4 linked regions of the Tribolium castaneum genome follow. The protein of the gene in region 4 binds, or shares a complex with, the protein of the main gene of each other region. Links are inferred from orthologs where the notes say so. Each region holds a gene or a part of one and is shown on either strand. Other genes may lie near its edges.

Evidence for each region.
Region 1: Ing3 (region 4) and Eaf6 share a complex: the UniProt entries of both Homo sapiens proteins name them as parts of the nuA4 histone acetyltransferase complex. The link is inferred for Tribolium castaneum from reciprocal best matches to the Homo sapiens genes ING3 and MEAF6.
Region 2: Ing3 (region 4) and YL-1 share a complex: the UniProt entries of both Homo sapiens proteins name them as parts of the nuA4 histone acetyltransferase complex. The link is inferred for Tribolium castaneum from reciprocal best matches to the Homo sapiens genes ING3 and VPS72.
Region 3: Ing3 (region 4) and Brd8 share a complex: the UniProt entries of both Homo sapiens proteins name them as parts of the SWR1-like complex. The link is inferred for Tribolium castaneum from reciprocal best matches to the Homo sapiens genes ING3 and BRD8.

What each region holds. Positions count from the first base shown.
Region 1 is NC_087398.1:15,237,128-15,244,956, forward strand, and holds the start of Eaf6 (chromatin modification-related protein MEAF6), read left to right. Parts: upstream 1-3,219; 5' UTR 3,220-3,360; coding exon 3,361-3,438; intron 3,439-3,525; coding exon 3,526-3,729; intron 3,730-3,784; coding exon 3,785-3,821; intron 3,822-7,455; coding exon 7,456-7,700; 3' UTR 7,701-7,829. Other genes in the region: peroxisome biogenesis factor 2, read right to left, coding at 1,754-1,963, 2,473-2,889, 2,938-3,048; osteopetrosis-associated transmembrane protein 1, read left to right, coding at 24-67.
Region 2 is NC_087397.1:8,920,190-8,927,544, forward strand, and holds YL-1 (vacuolar protein sorting-associated protein 72 homolog), read left to right. Parts: upstream 1-3,452; 5' UTR 3,453-3,598; coding exon 3,599-3,735; intron 3,736-3,785; coding exon 3,786-3,912; intron 3,913-3,968; coding exon 3,969-4,065; intron 4,066-4,116; coding exon 4,117-4,567; intron 4,568-4,956; coding exon 4,957-5,176; 3' UTR 5,177-5,212; downstream 5,213-7,355. UniProt on the Homo sapiens protein: Deposition-and-exchange histone chaperone specific for H2AZ1, specifically chaperones H2AZ1 and deposits it into nucleosomes.
Region 3 is NC_087396.1:10,839,253-10,847,175, reverse strand, and holds Brd8 (bromodomain-containing protein 8), read right to left. Parts: upstream 5,442-7,923; 5' UTR 5,041-5,441; coding exon 4,650-5,040; intron 4,529-4,649; coding exon 2,412-4,528; 3' UTR 2,011-2,411; downstream 1-2,010. Other genes in the region: ejaculatory bulb-specific protein 3, read right to left, coding at 869-1,053, 1,108-1,288. UniProt on the Homo sapiens protein: May act as a coactivator during transcriptional activation by hormone-activated nuclear receptors (NR). Isoform 2 stimulates transcriptional activation by AR/DHTR, ESR1/NR3A1, RXRA/NR2B1 and THRB/ERBA2.
Region 4 is NC_087397.1:1,046,720-1,054,452, reverse strand, and holds Ing3 (inhibitor of growth protein 3), read right to left. Parts: upstream 5,174-7,733; 5' UTR 5,060-5,173; coding exon 5,032-5,059; intron 4,955-5,031; coding exon 4,883-4,954; intron 4,836-4,882; coding exon 4,690-4,835; intron 4,644-4,689; coding exon 4,444-4,643; intron 4,398-4,443; coding exon 4,154-4,397; intron 3,972-4,153; coding exon 3,808-3,971; intron 3,759-3,807; coding exon 3,533-3,758; intron 3,484-3,532; coding exon 3,367-3,483; 3' UTR 3,042-3,366; downstream 1-3,041. Other genes in the region: inactive pancreatic lipase-related protein 1, read right to left, coding at 725-836, 962-1,010; uncharacterized protein LOC103313454, read right to left, coding at 5,224-5,450, 5,500-5,780, 5,828-6,000, 6,042-6,164, 6,210-6,371, 6,411-6,530; CAP-Gly domain-containing linker protein 1-like, read left to right, coding at 6,668-6,981, 7,031-7,733. UniProt on the Homo sapiens protein: Component of the NuA4 histone acetyltransferase (HAT) complex which is involved in transcriptional activation of select genes principally by acetylation of nucleosomal histones H4 and H2A.

The sequences.
Region 1 (7,829 bases), on a different chromosome or scaffold from region 4:
AAATATTTAACTTTTTTTTGTAGAGACCCGATTTGCAGAATCGTTAAGCCACAACAGCCAGTCATAAAACAATGTGATGTTTTTTATTAAAATATTTACAATAAACAAGTTTTCTAATAACATATTTATTTTTAACTTATCACAGAAACCTTATCACACAAAACGTTGGGATTTCGATGTTCACAAATTGGACACTCGTATTTCGAATCCGCGGTCTGATTACCCTAAAAAGAATTTAATAAGACCTGGCGATTTTTAGAAAAACTGCGGGTGCTGTACAATTTTTATTAATTGCCGTATTTTAAAAATAAAAAATTAAGTATCTAAATGGCTTTTAATGTGGTATAAACTGATGTTTTTATTTTATTTTTCCAAATGTCATGATATATCTTGGACTACATTTAACTTTCTTATTTTAAATTGAAACCAATATTTTTTTTTTGTAATTTGGAAGGCACATTAAATTTTTTTGGTACAAACAAGTGCAATGTGTTCTACTTTTATCAAAAAAATGGAAAAATTGTCAAAGTTGGAAAAGAATATAAAAGTTAATAAAATCTAGTTGTTTGGTATCAAATAAGAAATGTCAATGTTATTATTTCAAAAAGCAGCAAATAGAAGAAAATATTGACAATATTTTAAATTAAAATAATTCATTTTAAAGAAAAAGTACTTGGAACAAGATTATTTTTAACGTCAATATCTTTTATGACACCATGCAACTAGATTTTTTTTTCAACTAAGTATTGTTTTTAAACAATTTTTAGTAAAAGTAAAATATAACACATTCTTAAAAGACTAGCTAATTTATTATATTCATAACCATACCAATTTAAAATAAAAAGTTGAATATAACCCAACAAATTCTATGACAGAAAAATTTAAAAGCATCTGCTTATACTAGATTAAAAGCGATTTAGTTTAGTTTTTTAACTTTTAAAATCGACACATAAATAAAAATTCTACAGCGCCTGCCGTTTTTGAACAATCACCCTGTATAAACTTCATTCTTTTTTAATACTTGTCAAAGCGTTGTCATGTTGGTATGAGCCACCTTCACCTACCAGTTTTTTTTATATAAAATTTGTTTACACCTGTTAAGCTTTTATATCCCATATTAGTTCCTAGTAGAATTTTGCAACAACGCAATTGCATTTTTTTTGAGTAAAATGGAACACAAATTGAGTTTCTGGTGGGTTTTCTTGGCTCAAAATTTGTCGTTAGGATTCAGTTTAACACAGATTTTTTTATACAGAAACTCTCAATTTAACTCAATTTCACTCCAAAAAATTCAAATCGCTGTTGCAATTCTATTATGAACTGAAATGGGATATAGCTAATATAATTTCTAGTTTCAATGAGAGATTTAATAATTAATAACACTATTCGACATTTTTATAAAAAAAAATCGTTTAAAATGCAAAATGCGACGTTCGCATTTCTATAGTTTTGAAACAGCTAATATGCAAATCTGAAAATTTTTACAAATCTTTAGTTTTTTTGTACTTAGTGTAAATGGTCGGTTGGGTTATGCAGACCATAAAATTTTAAGTCGTTAATCTACAAAATAACTCGGTGCATTGTACGTGTTGTAATTAATGTAAAACAACTTGAAATTTGGACAGATTTTTAAATTGAATTTGACAGTTAAAAAATTACGCCAACCTTAATTCAAAATATTAATGTTTTCGCTAATGCCAACCCGACGGCTCTTTGACATTTGAATTTGACTACAAAAAAATATGGACTATACCTTTAAACACACGTAACAAAATACATGGGCACATCCCATATGATGAGGCAAAATAGGATTTTCCCCACAATGTGCACACTTGGAATGCATGGTCATGGTACGCGAATTGAGGACAACATAAGTAGGTTTTTTGTGGAATGGATTAAAGTGCCTCATTGTTCTCTTAATTTTGTGGTAATTAATTAGTGGGATTATATGAATAAGAACATCCTGGAAAAGTACTTGATGCACCAACAAGCGATTAATCATTGCACCAATTTTTCCGTTCATTGTTCTTGATTCGTTAAAAAAAGTAAAATATTCCAAAATTGCACAGTTGATTGCCTAATCTCAGACAAATAATACAGGATGTTTCACATAATTTTACGCGACCTGCGCCTCTAAAATGCCACCTACAACACATATTCCGATATACGAACTCGATTACAAATTTTGAAAAACTGGATTGTTTTTTCTTGTTTGTTCACTCCTTCAAAAAATTACGTTTTTAGTCAATTAGTGATTAAGATAAACAGATTACTGTCACGGGTTTCCACAAAATAAATAATCAAATGTGAATTTTTTGTATCTAGTGTTTTGTGACTCTTGAATATTTGGGTGCGTATGTATACATTTGGCGCAGGCCTCGTAAAGTTATGTGAGACACCCTGTATAATTATAATTACTATGGTTATCTAAACAATCAACGGAAAAATAAATTAAATTGAAAGAATTCTTACGATAAATCCATTCCAAAGTAATTCTCTAGATAAATATTTCGCTTCAAAATGCCTTGGAGCAGTTTTGGTTGAGTACTCTTGGTTCAAACCCAAACACCTTTCTATCAATAACGGTTTAACCCCACGTCGTAGAAATATGGACATATTGATAAAATTCAATAAAACTAAAACCATGTGTATCTTAAACATAAACGTGTTAACCTTATGCGAGGGCTTCCAGAACTCGAGACGATGTTTAACGTAATCAAAACAGTTCCCAAACAAGTAAAGAATTTTCTTGAAATTCGACATGTTGCTGTACTTTATTGATAAAAGTTGTTGCCCAAAAGTGCTCTCATTGCGACAGACTGAATTTTTCAGAAGCGCTAAACGCACAATTAGGCCCAACTCAGGTTCAATGGGGGCTATATAACCAGGCTAAAATTACACTTTCAGGCAACCAAACCTTAACAAGGGGGCACTTACGGGTAAGAAACGGCTAGTCTCGTGAAGAATTCGCATAAGGGCTTTGTAGATTTCATTATCAAGGAAAATTGCGTTCATTTGGGTGACTCTCAGTAACTTATCGTTGGACATTTTGCACAAGTTTTAGACAAATTGAGCGTTTGGAATGTTGATTTATTGCAACTATTTGTATTTTTGGCACTATTTGTTGTTTTTTAATTATTTCATAATGATCATAACCTCAGAATTTGTGGAACTTTTCGGGTTGTTATGTTGGCAGCGACGTCACGGGTGACGTATTTGACATTTGGCGAAACGTCAAGTTGTGAGGTGTTTTGTTGGAAATAAACAATTTTTAGTGTAATTACTTGAGGCACTTAGCATAAAACAACGACTTTACAAGTGTAACGTTTCCTTTTATCGTTTTGTGATAATAAGAACAATATGTCGGCCAAAAACAATGTTTCGGTGGATGCCCGCCAAGAGTTAGCAGAACTTGTTAAAAGAAAAGCAGAAATTGCGGTAAGAGTTACTTTATAAATGTTGAAGCTTTGTATTAAGAAATGTTTTTCTGTTTGGCTTAAATTCGCGGTCTTTAACCAATTATAGGAGACGTTAGCAAATCTCGAGCGCCAAATTTACGCGTTTGAAGGTTCCTATTTAGAAGACACTCAGTTGTATGGAAATATAATTCGAGGCTGGGATCGGTATTTATCGAGTAACAAAACAACAAACTCTAAGGCTGATAAAAGAAATAGGAAATTTAAAGAAGCCGAACGTCTGTTTTCTAAATCGTCCATAACCTCAATGGCTGTGAGTTGGGACGAGTTTTGTGTATTTTTTTTGTATTTTAATGAACGTTTTACAGGCGGTTAGTGGAATTGTTGACCAAAATCAGGAGAAAAGTAAGAATAGTTATGAAATAAAAAATCATTCATACGTCTAGTTTTTTTTGTATTCGTTTTGTAGCTTTTTTGTAGTGTTTGTGGTAGTTTTGCTGTGAACTTTCTTCTAGATAGATGTTTTCTCTAGTTTGGTCACTGCCTCTTATATGCACTGGAAAAATGAGAGACATTCCAATAGCTCTGTAAATGTTTTACTCTAAAATTATTCAAATTTTGCAAGCAATGAAACAAAATATTACAATAATTTAGAGTTTATTTTCATTGCTTACAACTCCCACAGGGAGTAAATTGGGAGGCATATTGAACATTTTACATTTAGTTTTACTTATTTATTTGTTTTGTTGTTAGTTGTGTCATAAACCCTACAAAAACAATTCACCAACAGTAAAACTTCTATAATCCGAACGAATTCTATTGCAGCAGGTTCTTCGGATTATCGAATTAACTTTTTTCTCTTACTTTAATTGAATAAAAAAAAATAAGTATTTTTATTTAAAAAATTTCATAGGGACATATACCGAGTAGAACAAACAAATATTTTTTTTACTTATTTATTTTATTGTTATTATTTATCATAAACCTCTAATAAATTCGGACTGATATTTTTTGAATTAACTATTCTCTTATTATTAAAACGAATAAAAAGAAACATTTTTTTTAACTTAGAGTGATCCTGTTAAGAGAATTGTAATTTTATATAAAAACTGTTGTTTGCATTGCAACACTTCGTTCAACAGAAAGTTAATTGACAGGTATTTTATTATTACTAATATTATTATTATCACAAAAGATCATAGAGGAGTCCCTGTCGGGACTATTTTGCTTAAAATTAAAATAAAAATAGTGGTGGTAAATACGGTATTTCAATTCCACCCAAAAAGGTTGTCAGTTCTTGATTTAAATCGCAAGATGTTAGGTGCATTTTTTATGACCATTTTATGTAAAACGAACACTAGGACAATCAAATGTTTATATTTTTATTTATATTTCTATTGTTTAGTTTTTCATAAACCATGCCAAAATAATATACAGTAAAATTTTTATAATGCGCACTAATTACTATTGCAAGAGGTTTTTAGAATTACCAAATTAACTTTTTCCTCTTAATTAAAATGATTAAATAAGCAAAAGTAAGTATTTGTATTAAAAGAAAAACAAATATACCTAGTGAGCCTGTTAAAAGCATGTTTCAATTTTATATGTATAACAGGCAGTTACGTTTAGAGACATTTTGAACATATTATTTAAAATTTAAATTTGATTAAAAAAATCAAGTTTCTATTTTTTAATTTTAGTTGTTTTAATGTTATTGTTTGTTTTATCATAAACTATATAAAAATACACTAAAACCTATTATAATTCGAAATACTTACTATTGCAAGAGGTTCTCCAATCGGATGATCGAATTACATTTTTTGTCTTCATTAAAATGAAATAAACAAAATACTCGTAAGTATTTTTATTAAAAAAACAATCAGAGAATTACATATTTTAATCACTATACAAAAATGTTGTAAACGTTGTTCATCTGGAAGTAAATTGAAAGACATTTTGAACATTTTGAGGAACAACGAATAAAAATATTTTTTACTTCTTTAATTGTATATTTTATCGTTAATTATGTCTGCAAGAACATTACACAGTAAAACCATTTTAGTCAGAATTACTATTACAAGGGGTTTTTCTATGTAACTACAGTAGCGAGGGGTGCTTCTTTTAGTGAGTTTTTCTCAATATTTCAGAAACCATTACAGATAATATTACAATATTTGATACAGTTAATAATCTTTATATTCCCAATCGAATTCGAGAATCTAATGTAATAAGAGCTGTCAGGTTGGCATTATCATAAATAGTATTTTTTTTTAATTAAGGTTGGTGTAATTTTTTACCTAGAAAATTCAATTTCCAAATTTTTCAAGTTGTCTCCAATTTACAAGACGTACAACAACACATTTAGTTATTTTAGACCACCTTTAGAGTAACGAATTAACGATTAACACTAACGTCCAATTTTCAAAAATGTCAAATCTGGTGTTCAAACTGTCAAATACAGAATACAGCCAGTTTCTAAAGTGGTTGAACATGAACTTTTAGGGTGTTACAGTCTTTATCAGAATTTTGACACTGACAGTTGATTATACAAAAAAATTAACTATAGAAATTTTGAGCAGGGGCGTTCCAAACTGGAGGGAAGTAGGGTAAAAAATATCCTAACTATGTGGATTTAGTTTTGTAACACATGGGCTTTAAATAAATTCTGTACTAGTTCAGGATTAGTTCTAAAAATCGTTTTTGTTTGAGTTTCAGAATTTGCAAAATAATATTGCATTGAAATTGAAATTGAGGTGTATACGTACAGTGTCATTCTGCTAAAAGTATTTTCTTCCTGTGTCTCAAAACTCAATAATTACACAGAGAATTTTTCGGCAGTTCTTTATACATAATTTAAATTAATTAATATTAAGTCACTGACGAAAAAATTCTAATGATATTCTTTCTGAAGGGAACCATTAATAATAAAAAAATTGTTTCTAGCCACCAAAAAATAAAATTATTGTGTTGTTCATATTTTCCAACATTTTTAATTGTAATCAAACTGTAATTAAGATTGAACTTGTGATTTACTTTGCCAAGATTAACTTAATCGATGATTATTTTTTTTATCTATTTTTGCACAAAAATTTTTTCATTGGCTTAATTAAACTTTATTTTAAAAATTTATAGGAAAATTCCGAAAAAAAAATGCGTAGAAAGATTTAATTGATAGCAAACGCTCATCTTTATGATTTTAGCTTTAAAAATATACTTTTTTAGACTAACCCTGTAGAAACATCGAAAATTATGAATTTAATATAAAGTTGAAAAAAGAGTAAATTTCTAATGCCCCAGTGTTTTTTATATTAAAAAATAATTAAAAATGAAAATTGAGTTTTAAGTTAAGGGTAAATAGGTCATAAATACCTAATTTTTAGTAGCGTTTGACGCCTGTCATATTTGAATTTAGTGTACGTTATTCTAATTAAGTCAGAAAAAATTCCCATGCTGTAACTTGATGACTATAAATGGAAAATATTTACATAATAACAGTGGGGCAAAAATGCGGAAGTAATCCGTAAATTAATTATGGCCCCAGCAATTTAAAAACCATTGATGTCAACATAATTTTTCTAATGAACGCTTTTTAGAAATTAATTGTGTCGGAAAATTTGCTTGTTTACCGTGGAATCTCTCTCATTTTTAAAGTTACTTTTACTTTTTCATATTTTTTGTTTTTTTAATAATTGTATCCTGCCTCCTATTCACTTAATTAGCAACTAAAATTTTGTGATAGTCTATAAACGTTGTTTTTGGCGATGGAATGTAGACATTTTGTAATAACAGTCGCCAGAACAATCGGTCATTGTAACGCGTTTTGTAGTAATTAGTTTGGAAATACCTTAACAGAAAAATTTACAAGGCCACTGATCCGATCTACTTACATTGCACAAAATCGCCGCTTTTATTCATCGTTCATTTTTTCAGCCGAATGATTTGGCAATTAAATTGCTAAAACCGTCTAGTTTTTCTGTACAGGTATTACGTTCAAGCAGTTACTTTTTCAAGTAATTTTAGTTTTATTTTTTACTCGTAGTGGAGCCGCACAGCGATACTGAATCTCAAACTAATGGAGATTCTAGTGATACTAACTTAGGTCCTAATTCGAACCATATAGATTCTGGGATGAAAAATGCAGGAAAACACTCGACGAATTCCTTGAATGGTGTACAGAACGGGCTTGACCATCGAAATAGCCCCAATAGAGACGTTTCGGCCAAACAGAAAAGTTTCAGTGCAAGTGCTAAAAAAACTAATAATAAGAAAGCTAGACACAGATGACTTTTTGTGCTGTTTTCTCAACCTATTTGTGTGTGTTTACAGTTTTAAGGTTTTTCAATTGTGAGTTTGGAATCTAAGTACCTGCATATTGAAATTGTACACTTTTTACCGATGTAATTGTTTGGAACA
Region 2 (7,355 bases), about 7.9 Mb from region 4:
ACTAAATAAAATCTACCTATTGAAATACTTTATTCTAAGATTATTTAATCAAACTATTTAATTGATAGTCAATCCTGAGTCCTTCAATCCTTCACAGAATAATTTTGATAAAAAGATATAAACCATATTTCATTAAAATTTTTCTACGAGAAACTAATTTTTGACTATTCTACCAATACCACTGTTCTTATACTAATACGTCTGTCTCTTTTTATAAAAATGAGTCATTCTGGGGGTAATTAACTAATTAGACCTGAGGTCTTCGATAATAACACGTTCAAAAAGCAGAAGTGCATCCAAAAACAATAAGTCTTCAAAAACGCAAATTTTTTAACGAAATTTTTAGGTAGAAAATCAATAAATAAACAAGTTTTGCGGCAATTAGCTCCAATTTTTTCACTAAAATTTGAACTTAGCAAAGCATTAAGGAAGGTCGCTTAAGAAAAAACTACTTAGATTATTTATTGACTTTTAATCATTCACACAAATTATTGAATGAGTCCAACAATTCAAAGTCATTGGTTTCTCACTTTTTTTAATGGCCGACCTTAAATGGACCAATCATATCCAAAAATCTACTTCATCAATGAAACAAAAAAGCGTAAGTGATTGGTATTCTCCGCAATTTTAATGGCCGACCTCAAACAGCCCAATCAAAATGCTTACAAATTTTACAACAATTACTACGTGCCTTTCGTTAATTCACTAATGATATGTCTGTCTTTGTTGCATCTGACATCTTCATTCATCATCATCATCAATCATCATCTTTTCTTAGAATTCTACCCCTTTATGTAATAAAATGAATGTTGGACGAGCTGCTAGATGAAATTAAAACACCATAACTGGGACAATGACGGGAAATAAATATGGAAAAATAAATTGAAACTTGAAAAGATTCAATTGATGAATTTTCGACATGGCTAGGCGCATGCGCGCGCACTTTTTAAATTGTCATTTGACATTTTAAGAAAATCTAACAAAAAAAGACGAAAAGTCGGTGAAAACTGTCTCAAGTTATTCATCAGTGCGAAAGATCATGGACTAGGTAAATGTTTTAAAAACGGCGATGTTTTTTTGCAGTATTGTATCAGTGACTAAGTACACCACATGAATTAGTTAATGATCAAAAATGCAACTAATAAAAGCTGGGAAAGAAAGATAGACAAAACAAAATACCTACACAAGAAAGAGTTTCTTAGCCTTAGGTTAATACGTTTTCTTTGTCATTTATCACACTTATTTCTACTTCAATAAAACACACATTTAGTAAACACCTTTTATTGTTATCAACAAGAAAAAAGTAAACGAGTGACAAAATGGCGAAACAATAAAATTACCTAATAGTTCACACCAAAAAACGAGATTTTCTTTATCACAATCTACAAGAGAGGAATAATAATAATTCCAACTTGCGCGTCAACACAGTACTCTATTAGAGACTATTACAAACCCAGTGAAACTAAATATCACAAACTCAAAAACAAGACTTTGTTATTTCTCAATTATCACCTTGCTTTTGTGCGTTGTCTAATACAGGTACAGCTGTCACCCCCTACACAAATTTCGAAAATTAACAAACCTATCAATGATTTAAAATCCATTGGCTAACGCGCGACAGTTTGGACAAGTTTTGTTCATATCAAGCCAGGTTTTGACACACCTGAAGTGAAACAAATGTTTGCACGGCAGAGAAATAGCAGAAGAAGGGGATTCCCGTGGCAGAGAGACGGCAGAACTTTGAACAGACTCCATGCAAATTGAACAGGTGTCAATTTTCGCCCCCTTCCTCTTGCGGGTGCTTAAAACATCTATTTGAGCACGAAAGTACAAAAATAAGGGTGGTAATACCTGGAGTCGTCACTTGTTGGATATTGGAGTTCAGGAGGGTTGTAAATGTTGTAAGTCTGGGGGGTTTCGTAAAAATACGCTTCTCTGTTTTTGTAAAAATGGTAAGCGAGGACGCCAACACCCACGATGGCCATGGCAAAGAAGGAAAATCCTTGGAAAACCATCCTGGCACTAAAATTCCCAACAAACTTACAAACCCAATTTTGACTTATTTAATTACGGTCAAAGTGTCTTTAGGGTGCAGGCTAGTTGTTTGATGTCTGCTTGCTTCACAACCACTTACGAATATCTTACATATTGAGTGTAAAGCTGATAAACAGGGTTTTGTTATTGTCAGAAATAACTGTCAACAATATTACATAACCTAACAACTTTCTTTCTCTGAAATCGGAATATTCGCGGTTACAGTAATTTTTCACTTTATTTTTACAAAACTTATTGGCTGGGATTAGTAATACACAACAAAAAATGGTTCAAAAAACTTTATTTTTGACCTGTACATTTTCCTTTCATTCAAATTACAAGAAAAAATGAAAAACTATATTCTACAAGAAACAATGAGACAAATAAATTAATATTCTAGTCATTCTACAATTCTACATACAGTTTAGGAAACAATAAATGTTAAAATTCGGTTAACATCCTGAAAGGCACAAAATTGTACATATTGCTCATAATAATTGTCATGATTTCAGTTGTTTTAATTAATCAAAGGTTATTTAAAAAAATAGGAAAAAAGCATGAGTGTAGCTGTAATGCTGTTCCTAATGCTAATAAACCTAGGATATGTTGAGATTTGTTAGCTGAGAAAAATTACTGTATCTTAGTTTATGCACATTTGCGACAAACTGGACAACTTCTGTTTTCTTTGAACCATCTTGTGATACACTGATCATGAAATTTATGTTTGCATGGTAAAATAATGCCACCATCACCTTCAGGCAATGGTTCACAACATATCACACATTCCGGAACCGAGTTTCTTCTTTTTTTTCTGTAAAAAGGTGTTTTTGTACGTTGCAGTTACATAATAAGTTACTCACTTGTTCTTTCCTGTATCTGCTGTATCTGGTGTTCTTTCCTGTACCCTCGGTGTGTACACATATGTATACTTATTGTCGCTCTGGTGACAAGAAGCTGTGTTGTTTCTAGCAGTGTAGACTTCATATATGGCCAACCCAATTGCAAAAACCATCGCAGTCATAAGAACTATGCCTTGAACTCCCATCTTTGTTTTCTCTTTTTGTAACGGAAATGTGGCTGGCTATTGTAACAATTACCTACCTTTGCAACAGCAACGTCAGCAGCAGCTGAAGACGACTTATTGATAATTCTGTAATTCCCCTCGATTTATCAGGACCACCAACAAAAAGACGAGAAATAACTCATTTTCACCCTTTTGGTGGGGTTATTGCGGAGGAAAAAATGAGATCAATTCTAAAAATATTCCCACACGCACGTATTTATTCCATTCATTCATTGTAAAGTGCCAAAATCTTTTTTTACCAAAATACGAAAGGACTCGAACGCTTGTTGCAGTGACATATGAAACTTAGCTATTGGTACTTACTGATAATTCTATGGTATCTAGCAAAATACTAACCTTAAAATTTCGCAGTTTGACAGATGGTGTTTAGTGCTTGTGTTTTTTATTTAATTAGGAAAAATATTAAATAAAAACCATTTACTTTGTAATAAAACTTATCATTGGTTTGTTGTCCCTGTCCCAGGCGAGAAATTCGTTACAATGGCAAAAAGAGAAAAACGGGCAAATGCCGGTAACCGTATGGCAAAATTGTTAGATGAAGAAGAAGAATGTCAAGACGAATTCTACAAAACCAATTATGGTGGTTTTGAAGAAACCGAATCCGATAGGGAATACGAGTACTCACTTCTGATTCATTTTGTTCCGTTTTGTTATGGTTTAATTGCAGGGAGGAGGAAGAAGGCGAAGATGTGGTAGATTCCGACTTTAGTATTGACGAAAATGACGAACCTATTTCAGACAATGAGGAGGAGGGTCAGAAGAAGAAACGAAGATTAGTTACAAAGGCTTACAAGGTAATGCACGATTATGACGTTCGATTTTTTGTTAATTTTTATCTGAAACATTGTAGGAACCAGTGCCTGCACCCAGTAAACAAAAAGCAAAACCAAAACCCACAAAACCTGTCCCTAAAGTCAGAACAACCCAACATGAATCCACAGAATACGGTTTGAAAATAACGAGTTAGTTAATAATATTTGGCAACAAACGTGTTACAGAAAGAAAGTCAATCAGGAAGTCCACAGCTGCAAAATCAGCCGCAACAGCACAACGCATCAAAGTACGAAATCTCGAACAAAAGAAAAAAATCAAGAAACCGAAAGAAGAAGAATGGGTGCCAACACAGGAAGAGTTACTCGAAGAAGCAAAAACGACCGAATTGGAGAACTTGAAGTCACTTGAAAAGTACCAAAAGATGGAAAGTGAGAAGAAAACGAAACGAACTGTGAAAAAAGTCATCAATGGCCCTGTTATCCAATACAGATCAACACGAATGCCAATCATTGAGGAAATCAATCAAGATAAAGACATCAAGAACGAATCAGAAAACGTGTGCGAACGCACGTTTATCTCAGTGCTTAATGACCCTAACGATGCCACATTTAACAGCATTTTTGAAAAAAAGACAGCGCGTCCGCTTCCACGACGTCTCAGATGCATTGTCACAGGGTAAAAATAGCTATTTATATGTGCAGGGGCAATTCTTGCTCCCGTCACGTGTACAGGGTGAGTCATTGATATGACATACACCGTCAGTGGTATCGTATTCTAAAATTCTTTGTCCGATAATACAGTCTTCCATTTTTACAGTGCAGTCTAAACATAATTTTTTTAAATGTCAGGGGTTATTTTTTTATTTTTCTACAATTTAATCTGCAGGCATATTACAGTGACTCACCCTGTATATATTTTTTTCGCCTAATTTGGAGGTGCAATGTGCACAGTATGTCTTTCCTGTCTAGGGAGGAAAAGACATAGTTTGCACTTTTGAATTAGGGAGCAAAATATTTTCTAAAAAGCGACGCATTTTTTTATTTTTATTTATTTTGTGTTTTCAGTCACCTTGCAAAGTACGTTGACCCTAAAACGTGTCTGCCTTACCACAGCAGCATGTGTTTGAAGATAATTCGTTCTGCTTATTACCAACAACTGGAAGCTCATGGAGATAAGAGTAATCCAGTAGTTGCAAACTGGCTTAAGTGGTACGTTAAGAATAAGGATAAGTTAAGGAGGGAGTTGGCGTTGAAAGTAAAAACACATCAGGTGGATCACAGTTGATTTATTTTGCTCTATTTAATAAATTTTTATAATACAGTTTCTATTTCTTTCAAATAAAACTGTTTTGGTCTGAGATCAACACGATTAAATGTTAGTGAATGAGTTTGCAACAAATTTGGACGAATGAAAAGCGTCGAAAACGTTTAGTTAATATATTTATTAAACTGGTGCACAAATAATACATTACCATAATCTCAGTAGCCAATAATTTGGCTGAAAATTGGCTTATGAAGTACAACAAGAATTAATAACATTAAATATTATTAATATGACACATAAATTACATCTAGTTTAACATATCATATAAAATTAATAGGTATTTGATAAGCTACCTCATTAATTAATGCCATTATTACTTTGTTAAAATAATTTTAGCACTTGAGTATGAACAGTGTATATCAAAAGAGTAGTTCGATTAACAATGCGAATTTGTTAATAGATTACTGTTTTAATATACAATTCGTTAAAACTCTGAGAAAACGAAATTAATCTCTAATCTAAGTACAACATAATGTAAATATTTATAATAGTTAAAAAATCTTTAAAGTACTCTCAGCAAAACAATTTCATGTCCGAAAACAATTTTCAATAAAACATTCTCTACAAATTGCACATGTCTGATAGTAACACTATTGCACGAAAAAAGGTAAAGATTCTCGTTACAACAAAATGAGTATGATTCTAGATTTGATATTTATTGCTTACTTTGGACGGAAAAAAATGAGATAATCCGCACGTATTGCTTAAATAAATTTGAGAAACTAAAAAATTAACAATAAATAATATAAAACACCGCGCTGATACTTTTTAAAAATTAAAAGTAAATAGAGCCCTCCTTCAACGTTTGAAACTAATTTCCAAAAGTATAAAAATGAATCGATTATTATTGTCCTACATAATATCAATTTGTTCGACCTTTGCATAAATAACATCTACATCTTTAAGTAACTTAAACATACCTACCTTACATTGCAATTTTTTCACAAACTGATCAAATCGAAAACAGGAAAATTCAGTAAGTACAGTTCAACTAAGTTTAGATTCAATTAAAAGTGCCACACCTAACAGAATTTTCCTAATTCTCTATCTATTTTACATGTGCACGATTAACATTATTGGCACGCAAAAAGTTTGTACTTTACAGAAAAATTGTAACAAGTATTAGTAAAACTGGATATTGACAATATCCACAATCTCTCAGGTATGTGTAAAAAAGAGCAAGCAAAACTCTACGGACAGATCTGGTTTGAGATTCTTTCGAAAACAACTGATTGAGATTCCGTGTAATTTTGCTCGGGACGTAACAAACACACTTACAATGTTATTGCTTCCAAAGATTACGTTTCCTTTCTTTAGTACACAATGCACGATGACGGAGTGAAAAAAATGTTAGTGATGTAATGTTAGACGTACCGCTACCTCAGATGGTCCGGTGTTTCCGTTAGTGGAGTGGCGCAGGTGACAGGTTAGCACTCCAAGCCTACAGGCCGGGCAACCAGGTTAACAAGAAAAGAAAAGAAAACAGTTTGTTAGTATTGTATCATAGCTATACCACGGGCACAATTCAATACAATTTATCCCAGTGTCACTCATGCTTGGTTCAGTGTGATTAGAGGCTTCACCTCATGCGTTAAGGCCTGTGACACTGGCATAACATTGAGCAATTTATACATACACATAAAATACTGATTTAACCTAGCAGCAAGTGTTCGATAGACTATATTAAAGTGCTCGAAGAGATTCGGTGCTAGAAGAATTTCTCTGTGTATGTACCGCAATTAATTAGAAGGCATTGTTGTTATTAAACTGTACAAAAGGTTAATTTGCAAATAACATTTTAATATAGTGCTATGAACACAGTCACACGTTATCATCAACCATACATTAGTTTACTTGGCCATGTGGAATTAGAAGTAGTTATGAAATCTTGTGGAGAAGTGTTAATGCATTATTAGAAGTTAATAAATAATAAAACTTTGATAATTCCACTGCTCGAAGGGTAATAAAAAAACTGATCGATTTTTATATAAATATATTTTGTTCCACATTGGCGCAAGTCAACAACATAAACATACAAAAAATATAATATGCTATTTATAAACGTATATGTATAAAACTACTTAAACATATTCATGGAGCGCGAAGCGACAGCTCCGCGTACTAACAATAAGACATACGT
Region 3 (7,923 bases), on a different chromosome or scaffold from region 4:
AGTTTGCTATGCTATGTCCTAGGCTGATTTGCAATTTTTTACTAAATAATTAGTTTGTGATTTTTCTCGAAATAAACGCTTAAATGTAATGAACGTCTTTCTCCTCACACTTACCCACAAACCTTCTAAAAAATGGATGCGGTTGGCAACCTTAAAAAATAATTGATTTCGAAAAAACCTTCAATAACTTATAATCAGTGGTAAAATATTTATTTTCTTGCAATGAACTAGTGACAAGTAAATATATGCACATGACAATAAACGTGCGTGTTTTACAAAGCATTGCTTACGGTTAATTGAATATGACGCAAGTCAAGATATTCGACTCAAGAAGTAACTAAATACTGTTGTTAACCTTCAATTGCTGTATTTATACTTGACAATTGGCTTAGTAATAAAATGAGCAAAACGAAAATGCACACAAAGTCATAAAATTCTAGCTGCAATAAAGCGAAACAAAAAACAATTCAATTTTAACAAAAATGATTTAACACTTAAAATAAAAAAATTGTAATGCCTATTCACTTTGCTCAAGCTACCTTAGGGTAAAAGCCCTTTCTTATAAAAACTATAAGAAATAGGTATTGGGTCAGTATACGCGTAGGGAACGAAATAATAAAGCATTATTTCTTTTGTAATAAATAGACTAGTCTCAATTAGTTGCGTGTAAGTTGTGTGACAAAATAAATTTTGCAGTTAAGGATTTTGTTAAATGAATGAATAAACTGAGTAGCATCATAACATGTTTATTTATTTTTATGCATGAAAAAAGCAAAAGCTACAAAGGTTTAAAGCAGATTACTTCCACCTTGCTAAAGCAGTAGTCAACAATATTATTTATTTATCGGTTCTCGCAATTCAGAAATGATTAGCTTCCAAGAATAAATTTGTTAAAATCATCGGCGTGGCTCAAGTCAGGATCAAAACGCTTCTGGACTTGTCTCCATTCATCAAATCGGTTTTTTATAACGAACGTTGCCAATTTAATAACAAAATTCTTCTGCTTGTCATTACAGTCAGCGCAGTAATTGCCGAGAACTAATGGAATGTGTTCTAGAAACCAAAATTTGTTTGGAAAAAAATATCACAATAAGTAAGAGTGCGCACCTTCTAAATCTTTTTCCGCAGGATTACACGGTCCCTCTCCTCTTAGACAAGCCATGTATTCGGTTACCATTTTATCATCGGCGAGTAATTTATCGATATCGACGGTTTCATAAGGAACACTGGCACCAAAACTCATATACACTAACGACATCAAAATAAAATTAATCACAAACAGCTTCATTTTTAACGAAAAATCTGGCCGAAAATTCGTGAAGGGAACCTTTTGTTAGAAGCCGTCAGTTGCTTTTATATAGAAGTTGGGGCTTTTTAAACTAAAATATCATTCATTACGACGTAAAAGTATAAAATATGCAAAGTGCTCCAATTAGAAAAAGTGTCTTTAGTGCGTCCTAATTGTATTTATTAAATTAAAATTGCAGTACTTGGTATGAACAAAAAATTAACAATCACATTAAATTTTATAATTGAGATTTTTGAAGTCATAATAAACGTTTCGGTCTATAAAAAATATTTTTTACTTTTTGCAAATGAAGAGGTCGCGCTGTTCCAAGCAAAGCAGTCGGAATTAAAAAAAAATCTTTCATTAATAAACAGAGCCTTTTTTAGTCTTTCGTGGTAATATGGTTAAAGATAAAAGTAATTAGTATAAGAAACCATGCTGAAGAAACTTGCTTCACAGATTTTTCAAAGCTGATTGTGCTTGATTTAGACTTTCCGGTAATTCGGAAGTCCTGATTAGCGAAACTTAAAAAAAACGCACAAAATTCATAGCTTTGGTATGAGTCGTTTTTCAAAAAAAAAGGGATAATTGAGATGACCTATAACACAGATATGATTTTTTTCATACGTATGCAAGCACCTGGCAGGGCTTATCTTATCATATATTTTATATTAATTAAAACTTCGAAATTTTTGGTAATGTTAAGGGTAATTAAAACAGGCTTTACCAAAAAACATTTATTCAGAAATCTTGATACAAATTTAATTTTGAAATACTGTTTTTAACATCATTTGTACATCAAAATAAATTTTATTTATTACACATGTCTTCAATGATGTAACAGAAATCGACAAGTTATAGGTATTTTATATTACATAATATAAAAATATTTACACAACGATGCTTACATAAGAAATCCTAAGTAGATATGCTTACATTTATTAAACACGGATATTAATGTATTTGATCACGAGCTACAAAGAACTGTACATCAGTATTTGTATTCGAAAATTCTAACAATACGAGCATAAAATTGTTCATATTTATTTCAATATGAATAAAACTAATACTAGAAAAAATCACTAAAATCAAACAGCTTATCCGAATACCGCAAAACGTAATGCTAATCATCCTTCCTTTTCTTACTCCTGGAATTCTCCTCATTACCCCTCTTCCTCTTACACCCTGGCTCACTAGTCCTAGTTTCCCTCCTAACAGGCAAATCCTGCGATTGCGCTTGCAACAAAATCTGTATTTGTTGCATCGACTCTTGTTGCATTTGTCTCGCCATATTATAAACCGTATCATTTGTTTTATTATACATAATTGCATTATTAAGCATAAGAAGGACGTCTCTTTGAAACTCCTGCGTTGTTCTTATAGCCCCATTCTCTATATTCTTTCTAATCGTCAACAAATCCATGGGTCTATACACCACACTGTGATACCCTGGAGCTTGGTCATCGGTGATCGGTTTAGAAAACAGTGACGCGTATTTATTTGCAGCCAATCTACTATACACAAGCATTATAGACTTCTTCCAATTGCGATACTCCCGATCATCATCGTAAAAATATATACTGGAAACTGGTGATCCTGGAACTGAATCAATCGGAGTCGCAGGAGTTGAAAGTCGCCTCCTTGTCCGTATTGTAGACACATCTTCCTCCTCCGTCCAGGGACTGTTAGATCTTTCATTCTCGCTCTTAATCCGCGATTTGCTGTCTTTACGGTCCAGTTCGCTGTAATCCCGGTCAGAGAAACTCTCTTCAACCAACTCACTTTCGTCTCTTTGCGCCTTTTCAATGGCCAAGAGAACATCAAATTCTTTATCGTCCTTCTTCTTCGTCCTGGAATAATCGCGCTTTGCTTTCCCGGTCTTGTCCACTTTCACTTCCATATTGATATCGTCGTACAATTCCTCGTTATAGTCGGAAGTCAATGTGGTTGACTCGTCCAGTTTCCTTTCGTCTTTCTTCTCAATCTCTACACTAGATTTTTCATTTTCTGAAACTTTGGCGTCTGTTTCTGATTTTATTTCCGCAACTTCTGTACTTTCCCCTGCTGTTTCTTTCTTTGGTTCCGCTTTAACGGAATGGGCTGGATCTTCAGTTTTATTGACTTCCTTGTCAGTATCCTCATCATCCATAACTACAACTTCTACAATTTCGACGGATCCAGGAGTTGTGCTTTTATCTTTCTTATCGGAATCATCAGTTGGTTCGTTTTTTACTTCTACCAGTTCATCCCGAGATTCTTCGCCATTTGAAGTTAAGTGTTTATTGTCTGAATTTGGGGCTTCGTCAGTAGTTTGTGACCGATCGTCGCTGTCCTGTGCTACCATAGTTTTAGAAGCGTCTGTTTTCACGGCTGTTGCAGGTTTAGCGGGTTCAAAAACTTCCGGATCTTCTTGGAACTCAAACGGATCTATTGCCGGTGTTGTAGTTTCCGTCCGTTTTTCTGTTTCTTTGGTTTCGTCCTTCATATCAGTTTCACTCTCTTCGAAATCTTCCAGTTCCAAATTTAGATTAAGATCACCGTTTCCATCCAGTTGTAGATGCTGTTCCGGATCTGCAACTATATCCTGCGCGTTCTCAATCAAATCGGAGATGATAACATCAACGTCATTCTTTATTTCTGGAAGTGGGCCATTCTGGATCAAGATACTGCTCGCCAAGTCATCAATTTTCAAAATTTGTAGATTGGCATCATCGAGGATATCGTTAGTATTGACATTCTGTTGTTGGGTTTCTTCTCCGGTTGGCTCTTGTCCTATAGCTGTACTAACCAAAAGTTGCAATCCTGGAGAAACTGTTTCTCCAGTTGAGGAGCTTAAAAGACTGGCAATCATGGGGCTAGTAGTTGTGTTGGTTGGCCGTTGGTTGGTAATCGCTGAATGCAATATTGAGGAAGTTGTAACGTTTGGAACTTGTGATGGTGATTTCAGAAGACTTGTCAGAAGTGGCGATAGGGCCGGTTTAGGGGGCTCCTGCACTAGGATTTTCTGTTCTTCTGTTGTATTTTCCATCTCTGGGATTGTGTCCATAGCTTCGGAATTTTTACGTTTTTGACCAATCACCGGGGATGGCTTAACTGGTCTCCACGCTCTTTCTATTTCCTGTTTTCGTAACTCCCTCTCCTTTAGCCACTGTTCGTGTGCCAGGGCTTCTTGTTCCTTCCTGTGTTCCTCTTCATCTATTTCCTTACACCAAATATCCAGTTGTTCTTCACTTACGTTACCTTTAAATAAAACAATTAATTATCAAAAAATACTTAACCGAATTTCCGCAACAGTCTTAAGTTTGAGAGGCTCTAATATAGCCCCTGTAACTTCAAACAACTTTAATTTAATTGTGAATACCTGACTGAAGCAGAGCTTTATCTCTCTGCAATTTCTGATATTCTGCTTTTTCTTCCGCTAGTAGTCTCTTGAGCTCAGCTTGTCTCTCGGCCAAAAGTTTGCGTAGAATGACTTCGGCGGGGGTTTCGATAGTGACTTCGCCCCCAGACGTTCTTTTCTTCCTCTTAGGTGTTTCAACATTCGCTAAAAGAGCCCCATACTGGGCTGCACAGTTCTTCTGGTGGAACCAATCAGGGGGTCTGTTGGGTTCACCAAAGGGTTTTAAAGCTCGGCTCACACTTGTTAAATTCTGGTCCATGTTACGAGCCACTGCTAGAGCCAACTGTTCACGGATTGACCATTTATCCAGCGGTTCACGCTTTATTTGTAAACGTTCTTCAATTGAACTCATTTTGAGGTTATGTTGGCCCGAACGTCCAAAAATCAAATACAAGAACCTTGCCAGGAAAGTGACTAATAGTATCACTGAATAAACATTCTTGAAGTAGAAATTCGCACACAAGAATTATCGTTATAACAAGCTTGAACGTTGTTTATATTTGTCAACTGTCAAAGTGTCAAACCTGGACAAACTATGCAGAAGTTTTGCCTGATTTTTAAAGAAAGTCAACCACAATCAGTGTAAGATTATGTAATGTTTCAAGCACACTTGTCTAAATAATTTCGTAAGATCTTATTATTCATAAAAATTAATAATCTTGAAAATTTCATACGCAGACATTATTAGATATTACGTACAGACCGTGATTTTTGACGAGGGCTTTTATGATCGAAAAGTATTAATTTAATGACTGTTTTTTAATTAATTAGTGTATTTTGGGTGTAGCTGGTTTAATGTTATCAAATACATATAGATTGTGGCCACCTTTTTGTATTTGTCGAATTTTATGGCATATTCTGTTATTAAGTATTTCGGTAGCTTGCGCGGTAGCTACTTTAGTGGCAAGTTGTCAAATTTTTAACCTCACTTTCTTGCGAATGGAATGCAATAAAAAATGTTTTTTTCGAATGCTTTGGAAGCTGTTTCTGGTGGTAGCTCCACCCAGTGTCCCAAAGTGAAGTAAAAAAAGAAGTTGTGAGTGTATACATAACAATCAAATGTAAGGATACTCTTTGAAAAAAAAAAAAAAGGTGGAAACAGTATTCAGAATGGCCCCCGAAGGGCGAATCAGTTATTACATCGACAAATATGGAGTGTTTCATAAAAGTGGTGGAAAAAACGACAAGCCGGTGAATGCACCAGCGTTTGAGACAAGTGTGACAAGACCTTCCTCAACTTGGCTGCGTCTGATAATAATGTTTTGGAATGCAAGAGTTATGAAAGCGGCTTTTCGTTTTGGCGTTGCTGCAATAATCATGAATCAGTATGAGCGTCTGGGATTTGCGGTCCTCTTACTGTGTTTCACGCTATGATAGTTTACTTTGTAACATAGTAGTTGAATAAATTTGTTTGAAATGTTTTTGTGTGTTGAAGGAAATGCGGGCAAACTGTAAAAATGCAGCTTTATTCAATTATAAACCAAATTATAACAACAGTTAAAACATTAAATAATTTGAGATTACTCTAATAGTTGACCAAGAGGGTAGCGATGCGCAATTTAAAATAGGCACTTTTCTACATTTATTTACATGATTCTGAAAAAAATCCCTACTTATAAGGTGAATATGACTGTGAAGGAAATTTTCAACAAATCGTAATTTTGTGAATAAGAAATGATTTTGTTAAAATCGCTCTCATCGTCAAAAGCATTTCCCAAAGTTACGTCACCTAATTTGATAACAGCATGAGCACTTTCGGTAAAAATATAACAGACTTCGTTACAGAATTGCAGTTTTAACCCCTAAAGTGTGTGTAACTACATCCTTTACAACTAAAACACTTCATATACTCTACTCTCATTACGTAACAAAGCAATATTTATAATTTCAGTCTAGGCTAGGATTCATCATGGCAAGAATTTGTGAAACCTATTTTAACATAAATTATATGATATAATTGATATTCATTATTCTTTTACATTCTACTTATAAATAGGTACTCTATGAATGTTGCATCGTGAACGGATGAAAATAAAAGCATGTCAATGTACACTTTTCTATTGCTATTTTATGCTATTCAGACAAGATGAGATCATCCTCCCTGCTAATTCCATTCTTTTATCACTAAAAACTCACTTAACTAAAAATAAATTAATCGTATCTAAGCTAGTCAATTCACTGATGCAACATAACTAAATTAACACATATGCTTTATTTAATAGTTCAGTCAACTACTTAATAAAAAATCACTGTACAATATTAAAAACAAACGTCATTATACAATTTACAAACGAAATAGTTTCATGTGGCATAAAATATACATATAACGCGACAAATCTACCTAGAATGGTAACAAAACAATCGTGGATGATATTTTTGATTTTTATTTTTACATAAAAACTGGGATGGAAAGTTAATTGAATTCTTGTACCATACATTTTTGTTCAAGTTTAACTTTTTGCAAGCACACAATAGCTGATTAAATTTACACCAAATCAATTTGACCAAAAGGTAATCGTGAGTATTTATAAATTAATCAATAGACCTTTGTTTAATGATAAGACATCCATATTGTAGATCACAGCTAACAGTGTAGAGTCTCCTTCATTACATCATTTTTAATTATATTATACAAAGTCGAATTATCCACACGAACACCTCTAGTCGCGCAAATAAATAAATAATTTTACAGACTCATGTTGCATGTTTTCTAAAACGTATAACAATGAAATTTGAAAAATGTTTGTTTTTTTAGAAACACGATATGACTAGATTTGGTCAATTTCTAGAATTGAAAGTGTCTTTAAAAACAATACATTTATCGCCAATTACCAATACCAAATTTACAAAAACGGCTCGTTTTTGCATTTAAAACGGTTATACAACATGATCAGTCTTTGAAATAATAAAAAAAACTATTTTTAGTCAATTAAAAGAAGAAACATCTGAAAGATTACACAACGTGCTTTTATTTGTCATTAAAAAATAAATAGAGTATTTGAGCACATTAAGTAACTCTTTCAGCGCTTTCCGTTAAAACATCGCACTGGACTTGAGTTGTAAAGTCGTTTTCGTTAAGTTCATGTGGCATATATTCAATCGATTTTAAGATATAAATGGTCCTGCAAACTCATAGATTAGTAAGAGTTTTTATCTTAGGCCTAACTTGCACTTTGTTCTATCTCGCTATTTGTTCTAATATACTAGTCTGCAGGATACTTCATGCATTTTACTT
Region 4 (7,733 bases):
AACAATTCGTTCACTTTAAATCAGTTCATTTGAGGGATGATTGTACTGAACAAATAAAAAATAATTGGCATTCAATTTCAAAACTAGGTGCTAGAAAGCTAACGATTTCATTTTTTCTTTCCCATACACCAATTTTAATAAATCGTTTTATGCAATCTTGTTACCTACATACTTGTTTTTTCGTTTTTTGCAAGAAAATTACAGTTCGAAGGTAAAGTTGTGGCAGCAAACACACGAAAGTTCTTGAGGCTAGAAAATTTACGTATTTATGGAGCAAAACAATGCCCACAATTGAAAACGGCTAGTTATTATCTCAAATTGATCGGCCAGGGATTACGAAAATAAATTTTCTAGTTTAGTAAGTGAATAGAAAGTCGTCACCTGGCATGCATTCACTATAATTGTCATTAGGAAATAAAATTTTTGATGATTAATCAATCGATTAAAATGCGAATTTAAAATGCCAAGAAAGATACAGTTTGCACAATACTGAACGTAACGACGTAATTATTAACCGCCAACTACTAAATTGTAAACACACAAGTGTATTTTTATTGAAGAAATGGCAATGAAAGAGCTTTCGTTCACTGGATTATTTAATATCTAGCGTAAGCTTTATTAAAACCTGACCTTGAGCGGGGCTTGCTGAAGTTCAATAATTAAACTAAACAATTCCGGTTATTTTTGCAAAATCCAACACCGTGTCAAATTTTTTGCTACTTACACGGTATAGAGCTGGAACGCGATGTCCCTAATCGGATCAATTTTGTGACATTTGTGTTTATTGATGGGGTAGAGCTGGACGATGGCATCGTTAATTGAAACAGAGGGAGGGCCTAAAATTCCGACATTCACGTTTCGTAAAAAATGCAAAACTAAAGTGCAATCACTAATCCGCCTGAAATGTCTCGCGGAAGCCGGAAGAACAAATCTCAACCAAACTGGAAAAAATCCAACATACCTGGTAATGCACTCAATAAACACACAAATAAAAAATCAGAAACACCCATGTTCAGCGGGCTCAAAGCACGATTTGACTTGGTGCCACTCGAAAAGCATAATGGGGGGATCACCGGCACGGGCAGGGATAAATAGGGAAAAATGATCTTTTTGTAGACAAGCAGCAATAGTGTTTTTTAATTGGAGTTTCATAATATTGGTGCAATATGCACGGCGCTCAGTGCAGCTGAAAATTGATAAAAACTATTCGCGTGCTATTTTACTAATTGCAATTACATTTTTTTCATATATTTGCATATTTCGGCTCGGCTGTTTCCGCTCGTTTAGCGGTGCTTTCACGTGATTGTTTATTTAGCAAAATACGGTCGGATTCTGTAATTGAACATCTCTATTAGTTTGAGTAATTACAAACCGAATATGCGGCAGCTAATTTACAAATTGGTGCAAAATTTAAAGCCGTATTCTATAATTAAAAATGCGGTGTCATTGGTTTGAGAAAGTTTGCATTATAGGGCGTGGGCAATACATGGAGAAGTAACCCAATTTACTATTAACCTTTGCTTGAAGTATTGATGCGATGTCAACTGATAAGAAAATATTTTCAATCACGGGGAAACAAATGACTAATTTATTTTCTTTCTAAAGCGGATGCAAATTGCTTCCGTTTTGGAGAAGTAAGGGAAAGTTCTCATTACAGTAAAGACGTTTTTCTTCGAAGAATTTGAATTTCCTGTAGATTATGACTCGAACTTTAGCGAAATTCCTTTAAGGTAACTAATGAGTAAGAGTTCCCATAAATTATTTCAGAATTTTACTTGATGCACTTTCTTGTGAGACGGCAACGGAAGCTTTATACACACGTAGGCGGTAATGACTAGTTTGGTGCGTTTCCAATAAACATGGATCTAAATCCTTATTATGTAACACAAATAGTGATACCTGTTTCACGTTAGCATTTTCTAAATCATGTATTAAAATCGTGAAGATATGCGTCCGCTTATACAACAGAATGATCGGCCAATTTCCAATTTTTGCTTAGATTTTTCCGATGAAGCAAGACGGAAAATTTCTTAATAATTGTTGCTACATTTAATAAAACTGGGCTTTCGAGCATTCATTCGCATTTCCCATCAATAAACAATTTTATCTCGCTGATGCTCGCTGTGAAAATCCGTCGGTATTATTTCGCACGGACGCATTTTTCTCCATTCTTCGGAGCTGCATTTGCAGACAATATGCGCATTTCAGCCGTTCATACTTCCGTATTGCAAAATTTAATATCGATGCACTAATTGCATCAAATCTGACCGATGTACAAAGTTCTTTACTTTTGCCCCATTGTTGATTTGTTATCGTAGTCCATCAATGCAATGTGAAAACCCTGACATTGCAACGGCAAAACTAGCTCGCATTGGAATGTCGTAATTTTTTCCTTGCAACAACGAGCATGATTTGAATTTTTTATCGAATTCGAAAATGAAATTTCTGACCTTCGTTTCACAACTCACGATTTATTGACCCTATGACTTTGCTGATTAATTGCATGGCTTTCGGTGACTCGGAAAAATGGTACGCGTGAGTGAAGGTGGAGGGTTTTTACAAATCCGACCGTTTCACGGCATGCAATTTCGCTTGCATTCAGGCTGATATTTTCGTTACTACTCGTTACCTTCATTAGATTTTAGGTGCGTTTTTAATTAATTATTATTTTTACAAGGAAATATTAGGTAATGTGTGTAAAACTCGGTGCAAATGGTCGCTGTGCATGGAAATGTACATACATATTTCGCAATGTAATATTTAAATTATTTACCGTAAAATTCGAATATTGAGCTGGTTCCCTTTTCAAGTGGGTTAAACTACCGATTCCATTAATTTTCATGTATCAAAATTATAATATCTAATGTGTTTACGCTCTTGTTGCTTTATTTTGTTTTACATTAGACTGGAATTCAGATTTTGATCCTTGCTTATATGTACTTATTATCTGTGTGATTAGTTTATTCAGTTATCAATGTCCAGTAAAGTTAATTAAACGTCTTAAAAAGGATAGGGTAGGAAATGTGTCAAATAAAACTCTGTTCTTGTTCAAGTTTTATAATTTATAAGCGTAATAAATCGGTTTACAATACTATTTAAGAGTAAAAAGTTGAGCATACATAAATATTACATTTTCATAATTACACAAGATCTTAATATTAAATAGGAAATCATTAATCACAATAAAAACACAATGACAGTTGAATACTTTTATTTTTACAACTATTCCGTTTCTGTGGAAAAAACAGATTAAATAATCTCGAATTTCCCTAACATTTTCTCCTGCACAAGCTCACTCATTTCTGATTCTTTTCTCCCGCCTCCGAGAAATTGTTACAAGCCTTTTTAAACTCTCTATCAACACATTCAATTTTTTCGGCTCCCTCTACGTTTCATTGACGCTAAACACTGTGGACAATACCACTTGCCTTTTGGCGGTGCAGTAATACCAACACATGGGTAATGAAACCATTCAGTTGGACACTAAAACAACAATAATAAAACACACCCAGAAACATTTCACAGAACCTACGTCTTCATTATCACAAGCGACCATATCTCCGTAAGAAACCTGATTACAGAGACAATATCTAGGCTCGTTGGGGTCATAAGTCCACTCCCCATCTGTTACTTCCGCGCTTTGTGAAGACACATCTATTGACGGTGATTCAGGGGCGGCACTAGCAAGCGGAGCATTTAATATTTGTTGAACTGTTGTTGACGCCGAAGGTGCGCTAGCACTACCACCTGACCATTTCCTATAATTCAAAATTAAATTTAACCAAAAAAAATGGGAAAAATCGTTACTTTTGCTTCTTCTTGTTATTGGCATGGTCCTGTTGGATGGCTTGAATGGCCGTTTGCGCCGCCCCAGCCAACTCGCGCCCGATACTAAACTCATGACCATGGCTTCCTGTATTTATCGCCTCATACGAGGCCTTAAGACTTGCTGTCCTCCTGCCTTGTTGCATCTGATCAAACAGTATAGTATAAAATATCAAGGTCGTAGAAAAAATAGTGTATGTAGGTCGCACTCAATGGCTATTAATACGACACTCGCCCCGGCTCGTGTCCTAACAGCCACCACTGATTGAATGGATTATTTTTGACAATTTTCTAGGCGAAAAATGGTATAAAATTAGTGATTTTTTACCTGTTGAGTGGCAGCGATGGCCTGTGAGGCCGCAGCCGCAATGGCAGGCCCCGCGCCTATGTGCCCCAAATTATAAGTAACGTTAGACTGAGCTGGGGGCGTTGATTGGCCTATTGAACTATGCCGGGTCTCGACGAGAGGTATGGGGGCAACAGCTTGTCTTTTTTCGGCAAATGAGGTCTGCAAAGAGTTACTACTATCCCGTCTTTTTTCGCTTCTTTGTCGATATCTAAAGCTGCTAGAACTACATTAGCACTAACAAAGATTACGTTCCCATAAATGAAAACCACCTTTCGTATCTATTTTCTTTTTGTTGTTGGGATGAATTTGTTGAATTAACTGGAGTGTCTAACTCCAGTGACCGCTTTTCTAGAACTTCAGTTATGCCCTTATTGTCTGCCTCTAGTTCGCATTTAAATTTATGTAGTTCTGTGTCAAGCCGGCGCAGGTATTTATCAACTAGTTCAAACATTTGATTAGCGAGGTGCACCTTTGATTCAAATTATCATTAAGTGGTCACACAACCCCACAACTACCTTCTCATCTGCGTCCTCGAGCGTCTTTTTGTACTCTTTTTTCACAGCTTCGAACTCGACTTGAATGGCAGGCGGTAATTCACCGGGATAGCGCTTACAATCATTGAAAAAAATTTTCACCCGCTTTTCTAACTCATCCATGTTATCTACAATTAATAATTTATTTAATCAACTCTAACTATCAAACTCTTACTTTGCACTGTTAAGTCTAACTCTCGCATTTCTGTAAACCTGTCCCGTAATTCCTGAGGTAGGTGCTCGATCACTAAAAATTCGAATTGAGCGCCACATTGACAATTGGCGTTTCCGTCAATGCCACGCCAAAGTAACTGATTTACTTACTTTCCAAGTAATCTTCCAGATACAACATTTTGCTGTATTAATGTGGTACGGAATAATAAATAATAAAGTAAATACGTGTTTAATTACGACTTTATTTCCTGATATAAACCCGAAACTGCAAACTTCACACAATTTGATGGAAGGAAACTGCCATTTTTAATTCCAAACGACAACATGACGCCCCGAAAACCACTAACACTCAAGCGCCCGATTCAATTTCCCACAGTCCGAGATGATTACAGGGGCTAAAGGCTTGCCGATACTGCGGCCATACCCCTCAATTTTAAACAAATTCTCAGCCCCTCGCACAATATAACCGAACACAACGTTCTGCATATCCAACTGTTCCATTTTCGTGAAGGTGATACAAAAGCGCGAGTTGTTATCGTGTTTGCGGACACGCACCATGGACAAAACTCCTGAAACAACACTCAGGAATTTTTCGTAAACTAAATTCGGGTTTTGTACCAGGTTTCGTGTGCTTAAGCATGTGGCCTTCCTCTGCAAAGTATTTACCATAGATTGACACCCCACCACGTCCTGTCCCTTTAGTTATGTCCCCAGTTTCCAAAAAACGGCCCGGAACTATTCGATTGATTGGGCAGTTTTTATACGAAAGGTTCTGTTTGTTCTCACCGCAGCAAATTGATAAGAAATTCTGGACTGTGACAGGGACGTGGTCGTGATAAAGCTCGATCTCTACGCGGCCCAGAACTGGGCCATTTAGCACTTGAAATTCCAAAAAACACCTTCGGGGTCAATTAATTAAGTCATTGTTTGATTTTTTTAATTATACCGGGGCCGTTCTGATAATTTCTCAAGTCCGCAACTAATTGACGGCTGTTTTGCAATAACTGAATCGACTGAGACTTTCTGAAGGATGACCAAAGGGAATTTGGAAGTTAGTTTCAATTTTTCAATAATACTGGTCCAGAATTTACGTAACGACTCACAATCGTAACTGGAAGTCTGTTAACTGTTAAATAAAGAAACTAATTTTTTGGGCTTACTGCAGCCATCAGTTTCTCGTATATTGCTTTATTTTTGCGGTCAATTCTCTTCATCCTCATAACGTGAGCGTGCCATTTCGATTTAGACGCATAGGCTTCAGGATTATACGAATCAATTTTTCCCTACGTTAAAAATTCACTTCAAGACAATTAAAATCAAAATCTTACGATGGTCCTATTTATCGTATTTATGGACTTAAGGAGCTGCTTATTCTCCTTATCAATCATTTGTAACCGCTCAGCGTCTGCCCGTAACTTTCGAAGGTTGATATAATTGAACGGATTCATGGGGAGGGGTTTGGTATCAGTTTTCGGTTTCGCTGAAAAAACCTAACGGGAGTAAACCAAGCCTGAAGCTTCTGCTTTTACCTTATATCTGTGTGCGTTATATTCTGCCAAGTCTGTTTTAATGACTTGGGGACTAACCGACCCAATCAAATATCTGGGAATTTTACAAGGCCTGAACACTTTTTTACTTTTCTTCTTCATTTTGATGCGAATTTAGACACTTGATAGCGGAAACGTCCAAAATGACAGTAATGACCAATCGTGGAAAAAATTAAAGAACGACTTGTAAATTTATTCGTATTTACCGAACAATATGCACACATTTTTCGCTTCCGAACATGACAGACACCAATAGCGAGTCCAGTAAGTGTCTTGAAAAGTACGAAAATGTTACGACAAGCGACAAGCGGGATTTGAAACTAAAAGAAGCGGAAAAAACCATCGCCAACAAAGACGTAATTATTAAGATGCTCAAACAGCATGTAAAAAAATTGGAAGAGTCGTATAAACAAAATTTGAAGGAGACTGAAGATTTTCGGTACAAGTTTTGCCTGGCGTCTGAACAGGTCAAAAAGTTGCGGGCAAGCCCGATCAAACAGAAGGAAAAAGAGCTCAAGGAACTGAAGGGCGATTTATCGAAATGGAAAGAACAGTAAACGTTACATAAGTTATTATTGTTTTTATTTTTATCGTATTTACAGATGTGATGAGTATGTTCTGTGTAAAGATCGGTGTCCTGGCTACAGTTCGCGCTGTAGCTTCATGCAAAAAATGAAGAATGTTGAAAAATTTATGCGGGCGCATTACGAACTTTTGGAATCTCTTGTTGACCGAATATCGACCAATAACGGCGCCACTCAAGTGGACTCGGACGCTATAGAAAGCATCAAAACGAGCTACAATAAGCAAATAACGACACTACAACAAGAAATCGTCCGTCTGAAAGAAGAACTAGCCAAAGTGCAAGACAGTGCTTCAGTGAATAACGACGAACCTTTCGTTGAGATAAAAGACAGTCTTTTGCGAGCGTACAAGAAGAGCAATTGCGAGTTACAGAAAAAAGTCAGTCAGTTAATAGAAAAAGTTCCTGGCGGCGTCACCGCCCTAACATCACAAGAAGAAGACGAACGAGAGTCTGGCGAACGAAAAGTCAGTTTTTCCAATAAGCAAAATTCGTTAAGTTTCGACCTCGGCCCCAAAAACAAGGACGAACTCCACGCCAAATTGAAGAAAAACGTTGAAGCCATTAAGGAAAACGGAAAATCAACGGAAAATAAATGCTGCGGTTGTTCCACACAAGACGTTCAAGTGCAAACTCCGCCAAAAGTGGTGGAAAAAACAAGCAGTGCTCGAGTCGTTAAAAAAGTTGATGTGAAAAATGAAATTAATGACGATCGATATTCG